2 linked regions of the Tamandua tetradactyla genome follow. The protein of the gene in region 2 interacts with the protein of the main gene of each other region in a biochemical or structural test. Links are inferred from orthologs where the notes say so. Each region holds a gene or a part of one and is shown on either strand. Other genes may lie near its edges.

Evidence for each region. The genes of interacting proteins can lie anywhere in the genome.
Region 1: the proteins of FLNC (region 2) and XIRP1 form a complex in vitro, tested with the Homo sapiens proteins (2 studies listed by BioGRID and IntAct, with this or other methods). The link is inferred for Tamandua tetradactyla from reciprocal best matches to the Homo sapiens genes FLNC and XIRP1.

The regions. Positions count from the first base shown.
Region 1 is NC_135341.1:48,017,038-48,024,364, reverse strand, and holds the start of XIRP1 (xin actin-binding repeat-containing protein 1), read right to left. Parts: upstream 3,092-7,327; 5' UTR 2,962-3,091; intron 78-2,961; 5' UTR 77-77; coding exon 1-76. UniProt on the Homo sapiens protein: Protects actin filaments from depolymerization. Required for correct cardiac intercalated disk ultrastructure via maintenance of cell-cell adhesion stability, and as a result maintains cardiac organ morphology, conductance and heart beat rhythm.
Region 2 is NC_135327.1:170,249,223-170,256,557, forward strand, and holds the start of FLNC (filamin-C), read left to right. Parts: upstream 1-4,251; 5' UTR 4,252-4,282; coding exon 4,283-4,637; intron 4,638-7,335.

The DNA.
Region 1 (7,327 bases), on a different chromosome or scaffold from region 2:
GTGGCAGGGGCAGGTCTTCTGCAGTCGTCATTGGGATGTTGGATGTGGGGGCCACCTGCATCTGGGCATTGGACATCCTTTTAAGGAGAAGGAACAAAGTGAGCATGGGGCCGTGGGCTTTAGATGGGGTGGGGGCTATTTGCTGGGAGGATTGGCAGGGGGAGGGCCCGGGGCAAAGTAACTTCATGGCGATACAAGCCCGGAGATTCACTCTGTCTTTAGGCTTACCTGGCCTGAGCCTCACTCTGCCATCTGCATGGTGGGTGCATGACAAGCCTTGACCTTAGACATATGGAGTCATCCAGCAAGGTGGGTCTCTGCTTCCCCATGGTCAAGCAGTTCACCACTGGCATTTAGGCTCCTTCTTTTAGTGCGATGTGTCCAGTCGGCAAACTGGACACTCCCCACTCTTGCCTTCCTTTGTCAGTCTGTTTTTCCCTGGAGGACCCCCAGATGAGTGCCTGGGGAAATTTTGATTTACTAGTCTCAGCTGGTAAAAGGTGGGACCCTACACAGATGACTTGATTTCCCACGGAGATGAAATTCCTCTGAAGAACACCAGAGGGCGCCCATCCCACATTGACTGCGTCTCTGTGGCACATTTACCCTTTGACTCTCCACTCACTCTCCAATATTTCCCAGGACCACAGAGTACATGGCAGGGGTCTGCAGCCGGTGCTACAGTGGACGCATTTGAGGACTGAGGAGGGGCATCTTGTGGGTGGGCAGACCCAGATTCTGCATGCCTGGTCAGGGTTCTTTGTGCTGTACCCCAAAGACTCAGGAGGTCTGTGCTGGAGGCAGCCAAGGGTCGTGGAGCCCAGCCCCTTGCAGTTGAAGGCGAGAAAACTGAGGTCCAGAAAGAGTGGGATGCTGGCGAATGAGTGGCAAGCAGTGCTGGCTCAGGATTCCCAGACCCCATTTAGGGCCTGGCCCTCAAGAAATAAAAGGGCAGCGGGAGTGAAACTTTCCTATTGACCGTGGTGCCTCTATCTTCTCTAGCAGGCACCTCTTGGAGACACCCATAAGGAGGGCAGAACAGTGGGACCAGGGGCCCGTTCTGCAGAGAGCCCTGCTCCTTGACCAAGGAGAATTCTCCCCTGTCTTGTGCAGGCAAGCACAGTTTTAGGCACTTAGGACCTCAGGCTCAGACCTGCCTCTGGGCCCTCAGTGTCTCTCATCCCTTGCCCCTAACCCCTCAACCAGCCCCAGATGTGGCATTTTATTCCTTTTCTTCCACCATTTTCAGGTCAGTTAGCTTTCACCAAGATGCAGCCTCTCCCCAGCACTACTCTCCACCTCTCAGGCCCGTCTCTGGTCTTTGTCCCACGTGTGCCTTATCTGTCTTGTGACAGGTATACTTAAAGTTCCTAGAGGCCAGCAGGGAAAGAATGAGAAGCACGTCCCTTCCTCCGACTGCTCCTGACCCACTGCTCTGCTCTACCCCGGTGCTAAATATAGCCAAGGTCCTGGCCTCAGGCAGCAGCCCTGGGCTGGGGAGGAAGGGCCAAGCTCAGCCAGTGGGGGCAGGGGGAGCCCCTGGCCCACTTCATCTCCTTTGCTATCCTGGACTCCCTAAGTCCTGCCCCCCTGCCCCTGAACTCTGCCCCCCTGCAGTCCTGTCCCTACTGGAGCCTAGAAACATCCACTGGCCAAAGAGGCTTGGGGAAGAGGCTAGGTGCAGGGACACTGGAAGCAGGTGGGAATGGGGCCAGGAAGAGGAGACCGTGTTGCCCCACCCTAACTCCCAGCGGGTCCATGAAGACAACTAAGCCCCTGAGAGGTGGAAACCCCTTGAACCTGCAGCCTCATCAAGCCCTCTAGATGGTTTCTTTAGTCACTGAGCTTCTATGAGGACCCCCTGCCAAAGGCAAACCTGCACTGTCCCCACGTCTACTCGGTCCTATCAGCACCCGGGTAGCTGCAGCAGATGGCATTGTGCAGGCCACCAACTCCACCCCTACCCCCGCCCCCAGGAATCTCCAGAATCTCTGCTGTGGTCACTAACTGTTCGAATCACGGACTCCAGAGATGTCAGGCCTGAGGACTTTCAGAGGTCACCAGATTTAATTCCCTTACTGTCCAAGGAGTCCTTGCCCAGCAAGGCACCAGTCAAGCTGGGAACTGGTTTCCTCACTCTGGGCTTTCCTGCTCTCACCCCTGCCTGGTCTGGGAACTCCTGGGGCTTTTTCATTTCTAGAGGGTGAGGGTAGGGTGAAGGCAGACTTCAAACTGGGACCAGACTTGGGTGGGGGCCCCCTAGGCAGCCTGGCCTCCTAGGCTGGGCCAGCCTCTCAGGATGCCCCGACTTTTGTGCCTAGGTACCCCCTTCTGTGGTCCCAATCCCTCCACACATCTACATCTGCACAGACTGAGATCTGGTCTCCTTGGTATGAGCTATGAGCACCCCAGATCTGCCCCTAGGGCCCTCCCACTGTCAAGACAGTGGCCTCGGGCAGACGCTGCATTCCTCCCCGCCCCCAGCTTCTAGACCACAATATGTGGGGAGTAGGGCTCATCCAAACCTCAGACCAGCCCCGGGGAGAAATTCCTGGGGCCGAATATGCCCAGACTTTTGCCCACAACAGCTGGGCAGGGGGCTTGTCCTGGTAAAGCAGACTAGGCCTACTTACCGTTCCTGGTCCCCCACCACCCCAGCCTCCTTTCTCTTGGCCTCCCTCCTTCCCTCTACCCTCTTTCCTTCAGATACTGGGCCCCTAAAGCCCTGCTCCCCACCTCAGGCCTTTAGCAGCCCTCTGAGAGCTCCCATGGGACTCCTGCTAACTCTCCCTTAGCCCCCTCATGGGTTCCTGATGTCAGAGACTCCTCTTGTACTACTGGAAAATGTGGTCCCCAAATGCCCTCTTCCGCCCAGAGCCACCCCTTATTCCTGCTGTCCTGAGAGCCTACCCAGAGGGCCCAGAGAGGATTCTGTGGAAGACAAAGGGGCAGGCTACTCACACGAGGGTCTTGCCTGGCCGAATGGATGCTCGGAGTCTGTGGTAAGTGCCTCTCGGGGGTCGGTTGTCCCTCTGTATTTGGCGTCCGGGCTTGGTCCTGCACTGCTAATTCAGGCCTTCTCGCCGCCTTGGCTCTGGGTCTCTGTCCCCTGCCAGTCCCAGCAGCTGCCTTTATCTTGGTGGCTGGGGGGGTGGGGGGGGGTGGGCCAGGTGGGGGTGGTCAGGGGAGGCTAAGTTCAGAGTATGAAGTGGCTGGGTTATTTTTAGGCTTGTGGAAGTCGCTCTTCCATCCCGGGGAATCAGTTACGTGTTCTTTCTACTGCGGAGGGGGAGGGTGGGGAGAGGCCTTCATTCATCCTGGGGGCGACCTGAGGACCCGGTGACTCAGCCACGGGTGGGTCGGGGGTGTCCCAGACTATTTTGAGGAAATGAATAAGGAGGGGCAGGGGACATCAGGAGAGCCTGTGTCCCCATCCCCGAGCATCCCCATCTCCTACTCTGGACTGACCTCTGACCAATCCCATGAGTGTATCTTCCTGCCCGGAGACTGGAGGCCCCCTGAGGGCACGGCCAGGCCCCTCCACCCCTGTTTTGTCCTGGATGCTTCTGAGAGTTAGGCCCGGCTCTCCTTCTCCCCCATTCCCTTCTGCACTGAAGATTTCACCCTGTCTTATCCATTCCTCTCCAGGCTCACTAACCCAGGTTTGTGCAACCCTGGGCAGTGTCGGATCTGGGGAGAAGACATTTGAACTACCAGGCCCAACTCCTCACTAGGTCCCTGATTTATCAAAGAATTTCAGGAATGGTTTTGTGGTTTTGTATGAGATGATATGGGTCCTTATTTACTCTTATTCCTTTTGACTCAGGGCCCAGACTTTCTGGGAATGGAGGGGAGGGAGGGGAGGCATATGGGGAGCTGACTCTGGGGTTATTTCTGACCCTGGAGTCATCAGCTTCCCAGTCACAGATGGAGGCAGGGGTGGGGCTGGGGGGCACACCTGCCCCCTCCTTGGCTGCCCGGAGCTGGAGGGCCCTCGCAGGCTCAACTGGTCCTGGCATTCAGGCCAGGAAGGAGTCAGGATGAAGGGGGTCAGGGACCATCCATGGTGTTTTGTCCCGGGTGGGAGGCCCGTCCCAGGTTCCGTGTCTAAGGGCATGCAGGCACGTTCTGTTGCCTGGCAGGATGGGGTCTTCTTTCTGGCGCCCCAGATGCCATGGGTGCCAGGGGTGACGCCAGACACAGCTCACTTTTTCCATTGAGTCAATGTCAGTCTTGCAGCGTCAGCCTCAGGGAGGTGTCTGGAAACCCTTGTCCCTGGTCTCCCTCCCTCTTCTCTTCCTGTGCCCTTTTGCCCCCACTCTACCCCATTCCACCCGTCTGCTCCTCAAGCTCCTGGCTCTCCCTAGGAAGGGAAGGAGACCCAAGGTACAGTCCTTTCAGGCCACCAGGTCGGGGAAGGAGGGGCGTAGGTCCCTCAGAGTCACCCAGGTGGGGCCTTCTCCCTGGGGATGCTGAAAGTACCTCCTCCTTAGGGCAGTTTTGAGAATGGAATGAATTCATATCTGAAAATGTTTACAAGAGGACTTAGCACGTGGCATGTGTATATTATTATTATATGTATAGAAAATGAACTTCCCTTTGCATTTACCTCAGATGTGTTAATTCATAGCAGAAAATTCTCAGGCCTTAATATCAAGAAATAGCGCCTACCTAATACAGCTATGCTGTCCAATATAATTGCCACTAGCCTCATGTGGCTATTAAAATTTAAATAAAATAAAATAAAGATTCAACTCCTTAATCATGCAAGCCACATTTCAGGTGCCCCATAGATATGTGTGGCTGGTAACTATCATATTGGACAGTACAGAATATGTCTATTATTGCAGAAAGGTCTATTGTACAGTGCTATTGTAGACACCAAAAATTCTCACAATGAAGTATTTCTCTCTTTGCTTTGGCTGCTAGGAAGCTCTGAGATAAATTTTTAGTTCTCTTTGATCAAATAGACTTTATGTCCTGCATCCTGTAGAACAAGGGTAACCAACTTTCCCTGTTTCCCTGGCATTAAGAGGTTTCTCAAGACTAGGGACTTAAGTGGGAAAGTTCTGAGAAAACTAGGACAAGTTGGTCAACTCTAAGTGTAATGATCTAATAGTGTCACTACATCACAGTATCTATTACTAAGCCATTAAGGCAGCAACCAGGCAGAGAATCTTTGGTGGAAATACTGTGCACATATCTTTTAAACCCTCTCAAATCATTTGGGAATCTCAAATCAGGCTGGGAATAAATACACTGAGGTTGAGTGACTGTGCTGATTAAAGGATCTCTGTTGAAAAGCAAAGGGCTTTGAGGAAGATGTGGGCTGGGAAGAGTGGCTGCTTTCTAGCTACAATAATCTCTCCTTCTGGTGTCTACTGCTTCCCAGGACAAGGATGCCTCCCTCCAGGTGGGGCTCCACCAGCGTTGGATTTGGTCAGAGTCTCAAGCACCTGCAGAATTGGGTACTCTAAAGTGGGTTTCAAGGTGAGTAGTGAGCAGCAACTCAACTTAAGTTTCAGAAGGCACAGGATCCAGGAATGATTAAGACCCAGACGCCTGAACTTAGCTGTGTGGATTCAACTTGGGCAAGTTACCTAACCCCCCTGTTCCTTACTTTCTTCATCTATGAGATGGTGCTAATAATCGCATGTACCCCAAAGGGTTGTTGTGGAGGTTATATGAATTAATCTAGCAAAAGCATTTAGAACAGTGCCTGGCACGTGCTAAGCTCAATAAATGAGTAAGCACAATAAATTGTCCCTGGACCTCGGCTCTTCCCACTTTCTCCAGGTCACAGAGCCTAGTGCATCCTCTTGGTCTGAAGGCGAGTGTCCTACAAGGTACAGGCTGGAGGTCCTGGCTTTGCTCCCAGCGGGAAGCAGACACTGGTGCCAGGGCCACTGCTCTGGGCAGGCCAAGCTGGGTCTGTTCCAGACTTGCAGGGGAGGGGTCCGCTCAGGCTCTCAGTGAAATCATGTGAACCCAGGGATTCAGAAATGGGACTTTTCTGCTCTGGGGTCAGCTCAAAGCCTGGGCAGATTTGCCATAGGAACGTTTTGGCTCCTGGGTGGTGTTTGAGAGTGTGAGATGTGGTGTCACGCTGTCTGGGATCAGATCGCCAGCCTGTCTCTTACTATTTATATATAGTCACTAGTCTTTGGTCTCTCTGTACTGCAGGGTTTTGGTGTGCATCTTCCGAGAGCAGAGGCTGAGACCTGAATTTGGGTGCAAGTGGTTTAATTGGGAGGGGATTCCGGGCAAGATGGTGAGGGAGTGGTGGAGGCAGTCAGGGCAGGAGGAGAGCAGGCCCCCTCTGTGAGCTGCTGGGGTTTCATCCCACGGCGGACCCTCCGGGAGACGGGTGAAGACACTGTTGCATTTAAACCCCAACCCTCACCCACCCTGTTCCTGGAAGTGCCAACTCTCCTGTGCTTCTTGTCTGCCCCTCCGACAGAGAGACGTAAGTGTTTGAGGTAGGGAGTGTTTGCATGTACAGGGAGTGCCCATCGAAGCTGGGGGTGACTCTGGGGGTGGCAGGGGACACAGGCACCATCTGACATATTAACTCCCTCTCTGTGAGATGAGGATAATAATAACAGGGCCACCTCAGGGGGTTGTTTTGAACATTTAGACCCACACTGTCCATTACCAAAATAATGCGAGCTGCACAATAATTCAGATTTTTTTCTAGTAACGGCATCTGAACAAAGCAAAAAGAAAGAGGTGAAAGTAATTTTAATAATATGATTTATTTGACCCAAATTTCCAAAAATTATCATTTGTACATATCACCAACATAAAAATTATGGAGATATTTTACGTTTGTTTTTAAAATTGTCTTCAAAATCCAGTGTATATTTTGCACTAACAATACCTCTCAACCAGGATACTAAAATTTCATCGGAAATACTTGATTCATATTTAGCTTTGATAAAAGTTACGGTTGAAATACAGATGCCCAAGTCATCCAAACACACTTAAACATTTTACAATAACTGAATCGGGTATCAGTTTTTTAATTTAAATGATTTAAAATTAAATAAGAAATGTGGCTCCTCAGTTGCACTAGTTCCATTTCAAGCCGTGTGGCTCCTGGCTACTTTACTGCACAGTGTTTGGCATCCCCAAAGTAGTTGGCTGATAAGAAAGTGGCAGAAAGGTGCTGGAACGAGGCTGGGCTGGACTCAGGGCTGCTGAGTCCCAGCTCTGTCCCAACTCTCCTTTCCTGAATATTTTCCCCATTTCTGAAATGTGTGGGATGACAATAGTCGTGTTTAAAGGTCTCTCCAGGTCTAAAGTCTCACTGACACGGAGAGATTGA
Region 2 (7,335 bases):
TGTCTCCTGGTCTTATTGATATATTGTTACCAAAGTATATTAAACAGGTCTCTGTTGTGGGTGAAACATTCCCTCCAGCTAGCCTAAGAAAAAAAGGGGGGGGGGGAATTGATTTTAAGTCTACAAGGGTGTCTCCTGGAATCCATGGGCAGGTATGTAGCCAGGCCTCAGGTACAGGTGGTACCAAGGCTTGGGAGCCTCTATCTCTCCTCTGCCGCCCTCTGCATAACCGCTTCCTCCCTGCAGACCAGTCCCCTCTGCTTTCCCTTCCCAAGACGACCATGCCAGCTGTCACCCCTCTCAAGGACCTGCTGCCCTCGGTCAGCGTGCACCCTTCCAAAGACAGAAGCGCTGCCAGTTATGATTCTGGCAGGTGGAAGGTTAGGAAGTAGATTTACTAGGTAAGAGAGGGAGGGACCAGTGTAGAGATCCTGACAATGGTCTCTACAGGGGTGGAAAGACAGACTGTGAGGAAGAACCTGGCTCACTCCATCCCCGAGATACCAGCAGACGAAGCAAACTGACAGGCACCAAGCCAATCATTTTACAGTTATCTCCTTTCATCTTCACATCTTAAAAAATCAGATGAAAGTGTGACTAATTCCACTTTACAAATGAGAAAACAAAGGTCACAAAAAGTTACATTACCTCCCAAGGTCACAGAGCCAGAAGTAGAGAGGCTGGAATTCAGCCTGTGGATCTTTCCACTCTTCCATTGTCCCTGGCACCTGGGTCAGCACCATAATCAGTAGTGTGGCTTGGTCAGAGTGCCTGCTCTGGGTGTCTGCTGTGATACCAGCCTGGTATCGTCACAGGTGATTGTGGAAATGACCACGGCTCCAGAACAGCAGGATTTTCAAACATGGCCCATTGCACCCACTTACTCAGATTCTGCTCAGTCCGAGTTAAATGAGGCCAGTGTCAGTGGCTGACAAGCAGTCCCCTTGATGGCAGAGGCAGGGTCAGGTGAAAGACCGGGTAGCCTGGTCTCCTGAGACAAGCGGGTGGTGGTGAGTCAGGCTTATAAATGCCCATGGCTCCAACCAATGCAGCCCCAAATATTCAGCTGACAAAACCCCCTGTAAGCCCCTCTGGGTGCCCCTGCCTGGCTCAGGGAGGAACCTATCAGCCTTCCTTGGGGAGAGGAGCCCAATTGGCAGGCTATAGGACCAACATTGTGCACGGTCTGTTCCGGCCCATGTGGCTGGGCCTGGGGCCTGGGCTCATGGGCTATATCGGGGGCTGAGTCACCAGCCTGCGCCAGGGTCAGGCTGACTGTGACTGGCTGGCTGGAGCCTGAGTCAGGCCCCGATTTATCCTGGAGAGCAACAGGCTCAGGTTTCTCGGGGGATGGGGGGGTGACGGGAACCATCCATGGGCACTCTGTACCCTCCTCTCACTCCCCTGGGGCAGACACACTGCTCTCTACTGGAATGAGACAATGAGTCAAAGGGGGAGAGCCAGGGGAGGCATGGGGGGCTATCCTTGAGAGTTATCTCTCCACTTGTGGGCATCAGTCTGAACTCTCCCCTGTCAACACTGGCCCCCAAATGACTCAGGAACATCAAGGAATGCCCACAAAACAGGAATAGGAGCCGTTAGGGTTTATAAAGAGGCTGTCAGCTTCAAGCAACTCCAGCTTATCCCTTGCGCTCAACAAGGGAATCCAGCCTTTATCAGAGTTGTACATCGGTTTCTCCACCAAAGCTTCAAGACAACATCATTGAACCCTAAGCTCCTGGCACCTCAGAGTTGGGTGCCAGAAGTCTGCCCTTACACGCACACACACACGCACACACACACGCACACACTGGCACACAGTTCCTTGGTGAGACCCAGCTATGTTCCCCCAGGAACTGGGAATCTCTCCACAGGAGAGCTCAGCCTCTCAGGTAGATGGGCAGCACTGGTGCCTGATGGGTGCTTTGGGCCACGGGATGAAGGTTGCTTGTGGGTAATGAGAGCACTGGAGATGGGGAGAAAGGGGTTTGCCAGCAGGAGAGTAGAATTCCTGAGCACCTTGTCACAGGCAGCCGACAGAACATGAGCTGCAGGGCCCACGCTATTTATACCTCGCCTGTCACTATCAGGGCCCCCATAGCCTGCCCCCCCACCCCAGCCACACACAGCCTGGCCCTTTTCTGTTTCTGGGCCCTTCTCTACTCCTCCCCCCTCCCTACTCAGGCAACCAAGCAACCTCATTTAATGAGAACGAACAGAAATCACTCATGACCCCTTTCACTATAAGCACTGCCCCCATTAAACCCCCAAACTTCTCCCTCAGCTCTTTAATGAAGAGTGCCCTCATTCTGCTCTTGGGAAGAGAGCCCCAAAGATAACCACAAGCTCGTTCTTTTTCACCCAGCCTGGGGAAAAGAGAGGCAAAAGGTAGAATTAGTCATTTATAAGGTCCCAGAACCTTCTTAAACCTTCTCAGTTGTTATCACATACATGGCTTGTATCACATACAAGACACTTCTCAGGCTCAGACACGGTCTCCTACCCACTCAGTTTCCTGTTGATGAAGTGAGGGTTTGCCTACTTCTTCCAGAACCTCTCACCAATTCACTACCCCAAACTTACTGGGTCCAGGAGGGATGGGAAAGCTGAGGAAGGATGGCCATAAAAGGCAGACCAGGAGGTATGGAATACATGTATGCTACAAAATCGCAGAATATATATTCTCTTTATAAAAATATATCCTATAGCTCTTTTTTTTTCATCTCAGGTCAGCTCCTCTGTGTGGATGCCTCAGTTTCCCTACCCTCACCACTCCCCAGGCCTCCAGCCATCCTTGGCTTACCCCAAGCCTAGCCCTGCCTAGCACGTCCTGGCTGGCTCCCTCGGGCTCTCCCTGACCACTCTACCGCTGCCCACCTGCCTCAGTCACGTTCCCCCTTGGCTGCTCTGGGCAGGGCTCTCCCTGTTTCTGTCAGTAATCCGCCTTCTCCCTAGAGTGATCTGCCTTGTGGCCAAAATGGGCACATTGCCCAGGGGGCTCTCTGGCACTAAAGAGGCAGTCTCTCTCTCCCCACTCATCACCTTGGTTGAGTCAGACTTGAGCTGGGGCGGAGTGGGGGTGGGGGTGGCACAGTGTAACTCACTGGGTACCTTTTTCCTGAGCTCAGCTTCATTCTGAGGGGATGAGGCCAGATGGGGCTGGCAGCAGGGGCACTGAGTCAGGGGCAGCAGCCTCAGTCTTTGCCTCTGGGTTTGGGTCCCAAATGAGGCCTTTCTACCTGTAAAGTGGAGCAATGAGGGAGGTGCCCCCCACCCCCTGCCGCGGAGTCCACCATCCCCAAGCCTTCTTCCTAAGTGGCCTGGGCAGTGTCCTTGCTTCCTCTCTGTCCAGGTCTACACAAGCTCACAGACTTCCCTTCCCTATCCACAGGTGGACAATACACTGGGCTAGAAGCCAGGACTCCCAGGTCCGGTCAACAGCACTTCCACCAACTCATCCAGAAATTCTAACACGACATCCGTGTGTGTGTGTGTGTGTGTGTGTGTGTGTGTGTGTGTGTGTGTGTGTGTATGTTTCACTCTAACCACTGGCCTCAGTTTCCCCATTTATCTCTTGAGCTCCTCTGCAGTGGAGCACATTTCATCTCTGACTGACAAGGCTTAGTTTAGGGGTGTTGGGTGAGGATGGGTAACTTTCGCCCTCATTCTCTTCCACCTTCGAGGGCCGCTATCCACCTCCCCAGGGCGGCGGCTCCTCGGGGACCCCAGCCCCCCTGGTCCGCAGACTCGGGCCGGTGTGGGGGAGGGGCGGGAGGCCCCAGCTCCCCTCCCGCCGCCCGGGCCGCGTGGGGGAGGGGAGGGGAAGGAGGGGACGGGGAGGCGGGGCCGTTCCGCTCCGCGTGGCCCCCACCCGCGGGCCGGGCGGCATTCCTGGGAGGCCGGCGCTCTGACGTGGACCCGGGGGCCGCGGGCGAGACAGGGGGGCCGCGGCCCGGGGGCTTCTTAAACCCCCCGCCCCGGCCCGGCCCGCACTTCCCGAGCACCGCTCCGCCCCCGGACGGAGAGAGAGAGAGAGAGAGAGCGAGAGAGAGAGAGAGAGAGAGACAGACAGACAGAGACAGAGAGAGGCCGAAGAGCCGAGGAAGCCCGCCGAGCCCCGCCAGCCAGGGGCGCCAGAGCAGTTGGAGAGCAGCGCAGTGCCGAGCGGCGAGCCCCGCGGTCGCGCCCCGACAGCGCCCGACAGCACCCCCCGGGCCGCCCCGACCCCGCCGCGGACCCCGACCAGACACGCAGCGCAGCCCCTGCCCCGGCCCGCGCCAGCATGATGAACAACAGCGGCTACACGGAGGCCTCGGGCCTCGGTCTGGGCGACGAGGTGGACGAGATGCCGTCCACGGAGAAGGACCTGGCGGAGGACGCGCCGTGGAAGAAGATTCAGCAGAACACGTTCACGCGCTGGTGCAACGAGCACCTCAAGTGCGTGGGCAAGCGCCTGACCGACCTGCAGCGCGACCTCAGCGACGGGCTGCGCCTCATCGCGCTGCTCGAGGTGCTCAGCCAGAAGCGCATGTACCGCAAGTTCCACCCGCGCCCCAACTTCCGCCAGATGAAGCTGGAGAACGTGTCCGTGGCCCTCGAGTTCCTGGAGCGCGAACACATCAAGCTCGTGTCCATCGGTCAGTGCTGGCGCCGAGGGCTCGGGCACGGGGGGCGGGTGGGGGGAGCTGGAGGGGAGGGGAGCGGTGCCCTGAGGGCCGGCCCGTGCGTGGCAGCGGGGCACAGGTGCTGGGTGGGCGCGCGGGGAGCTCCGTGGCACCGTCGGGACTCGCCCGGGCTCTGCCTTCACACCCCTCTCAGGACCCGGGGCACCCAGGCGAGTTCAGACCTAACCATTCCAGCTTCAGCTTCCCCACACCCGCTCCAGCCATTCCGCCTCCCCTCCTAGTCCACTTTTCTTCCGCGGCAGGACCCTGGCCCCTGGTTTGAAAGGACAGGGCTAGTGCCTATTGCGGATTCCTGGGGGCATCTGCCCCCAAACAAAGCACACAGCTTCCCAGCTTCCCAGCACCTGCGCCTGGGGAGATGGGCATGAGGGCAGGTCCCAACCAATGCCCAGCTTCCCCGGCTCTAGGCTGAAGGCGAGCTGGTGGCCCCGCCGCTCCCGCCGAGGCCCAGGGCAGGCATGTGCTCAGCAGCTGGGCTCAGGCTGGGGGGCCAAGGCAGGCAGGGCCCTGCCTCAGAAACCTAAAAAGGCACTGAGTGAGCGCAGGGAGCCTTAACCCCTGCCTGTCCTCCTGCTTCTGTCTGCTGGGGAGGGGGGCTCCCACCCCTGCAGGCCCTGCCCCAGCCCTCCCCCTCAGCCCGGGATTGGCTGCAGCTAAAGGTCTGGACTGAGGGGAGGGAGGACAAAGCCTGTAGAAGGGAGGAAGTCATTGAGTGTAACCAGATTTGGAAGGTGTGTCAGTGCTGTGTGGGGGTGGGGAGGCACTCTAGGCTTTACAGCTGAGAAGAAGCCAAGGATGGGCTTTGAGTGGCAAGAAGTATCCTCTCCCCTCACAACCCTGCAGCCATCCAAGCGGGCTTCCAGGCCTGGGGAAGACCTCTCACCCCTGTGGTGAGGTCTGAAGAGTTCTGCGTTGATTTACATGAACGGGCCCCTTGTGGGGATACACCCCGGGACCTCATGAGGGGAGTTTCACGTAGGGCCAGGTAACCTAGAGCCTCCCCGCCCCCCATCTCGCTGCTCCAAGAGATATACCCAGATCATTGAATGCCCACCCCCCTCTCCCCCTCAGGGCCATCTCTAGGTCTCCTGAATTAGCAGCTGAGGTCAGTTTAGGGCCCTTTGCCCTGCTAGGCCCCTCCCTCCACCTTACCCCCTCCTACCCCAGTGCTCCCCCCTCTACCTCCCACCCCACCCGCCTGCTCTGGCCTGGAAATAGCCCTGCCTCCGTGACACAGCAGATGTCTCTGAGCTTTCCAGAAGGACAAACTTGAGGGCAGGGGGTGGGGGAGGAGGTGCTGGTGTCTGTAGTGGGGCTGAGGGCTATGTGAATGGGGGTGGGGGTAAGGAGACCCCCTGTACCCTGGGATTGGAAAGGCGAGACTGACTGTCCCAAGTGGGGTCTTTGGGACAGCTCGAGGCTATTAGAGGAGATATTAAAGGAAACTGCTCAGACTTCCCCTCCTCTCTGGGGGCTGCAGGGACAGCCCACTGCCCATCTCTAGGCCTCATCCTTTCAGAGCACACCTCTCCCCTCCCCCTTGATGGTTACTGGCTCCAGCCCCCTTGGCTCGACTGTGCAGGGGCGGGCTCAGAGTAGAGGAGGAAGGAGCAAAAGCTGGTTTGGGGGTGGGAGAGACTCTCCCTCGGTTCCCACTGAGAGGAAGGGGAGCTGTTCCCTGTTCCGGCCAAGTGGCGTCCTCGCGCTGATGAGATAAACTGTCAGCAGTTCAGCTGCAGAGAGGCTGAGGCTGGAGGGGAGGGGGTTCAGACGACTCCGAGCTGATGTAAAGGGCTACCCATCCGGTGGGAGCCTCCTGCCTCCTCTAGTTCCCGCTGTCCCCTTTAGTGGTGGAATGAGGAGACATTGTCTCAGACTAAAATTGAGCATCTGAGCACATTGGTGGGAGGCCAGAAAGACACACTATTTCCCTTTCTAGAAGGGAAGTCAAGGCCTGGGGTGGGAGCTGGGAGCTGGGACGTCCACCTGAAGGAGGGGGTATTCAGCTTGGGTTGGAGAAACTGTGTCCCCTTTCCTATGCCTACCACCCCCGTATGGCCCCCACTGCCCCCTCAGCCCCTCCAAACAAAGGGGCCTATGAGGCAGCTCTGTCCTGCAGCTGTTCCCCAGTTGCTATTCCTTCTCTTTGGGCCAACAGCCGAGGGAGGGGCTGGAGGGGACAGCAGCTGTCCCAGCCCCTCCCTCAGCCCAGCTCTCTCTCCTCCTCCCCCTCTACTTGAATCCTGGGGTAGCCTCAAGGACTGGCTGTCTGACTTTTCCCGCCCCCTTTGGGGGTATCCCCAGGCAGGCTGAGGAGTGGTGGCATGGGAGGATATAAGGGAGGAAGCCTAAGCTGAGTGAGAGGAGAGGAAGGGCATTGCCCCCAGAGTGGGACTCTGGGCCCCTTGCTGGCCCTCTCCTGCCCCAGGCTGTGGACCACTTGCTGTTTGGCCCAGGGCCAGTTGCTGGGGAGAAACCTCGCTCTCTGTGACTGTGAGTGATCACCGTCCCCCACACGTACACATACACTCCTCCCAGCCCGGCAGCCTCCCATGCCCGCCCTCTCAGGGGTCTGTCTCCAGCTTCCAAGAGGTACTTCTGGATATGTGAGCACCAGTTTTGGAGGCTGTCAGGGTGGCGAGAGGCTGTG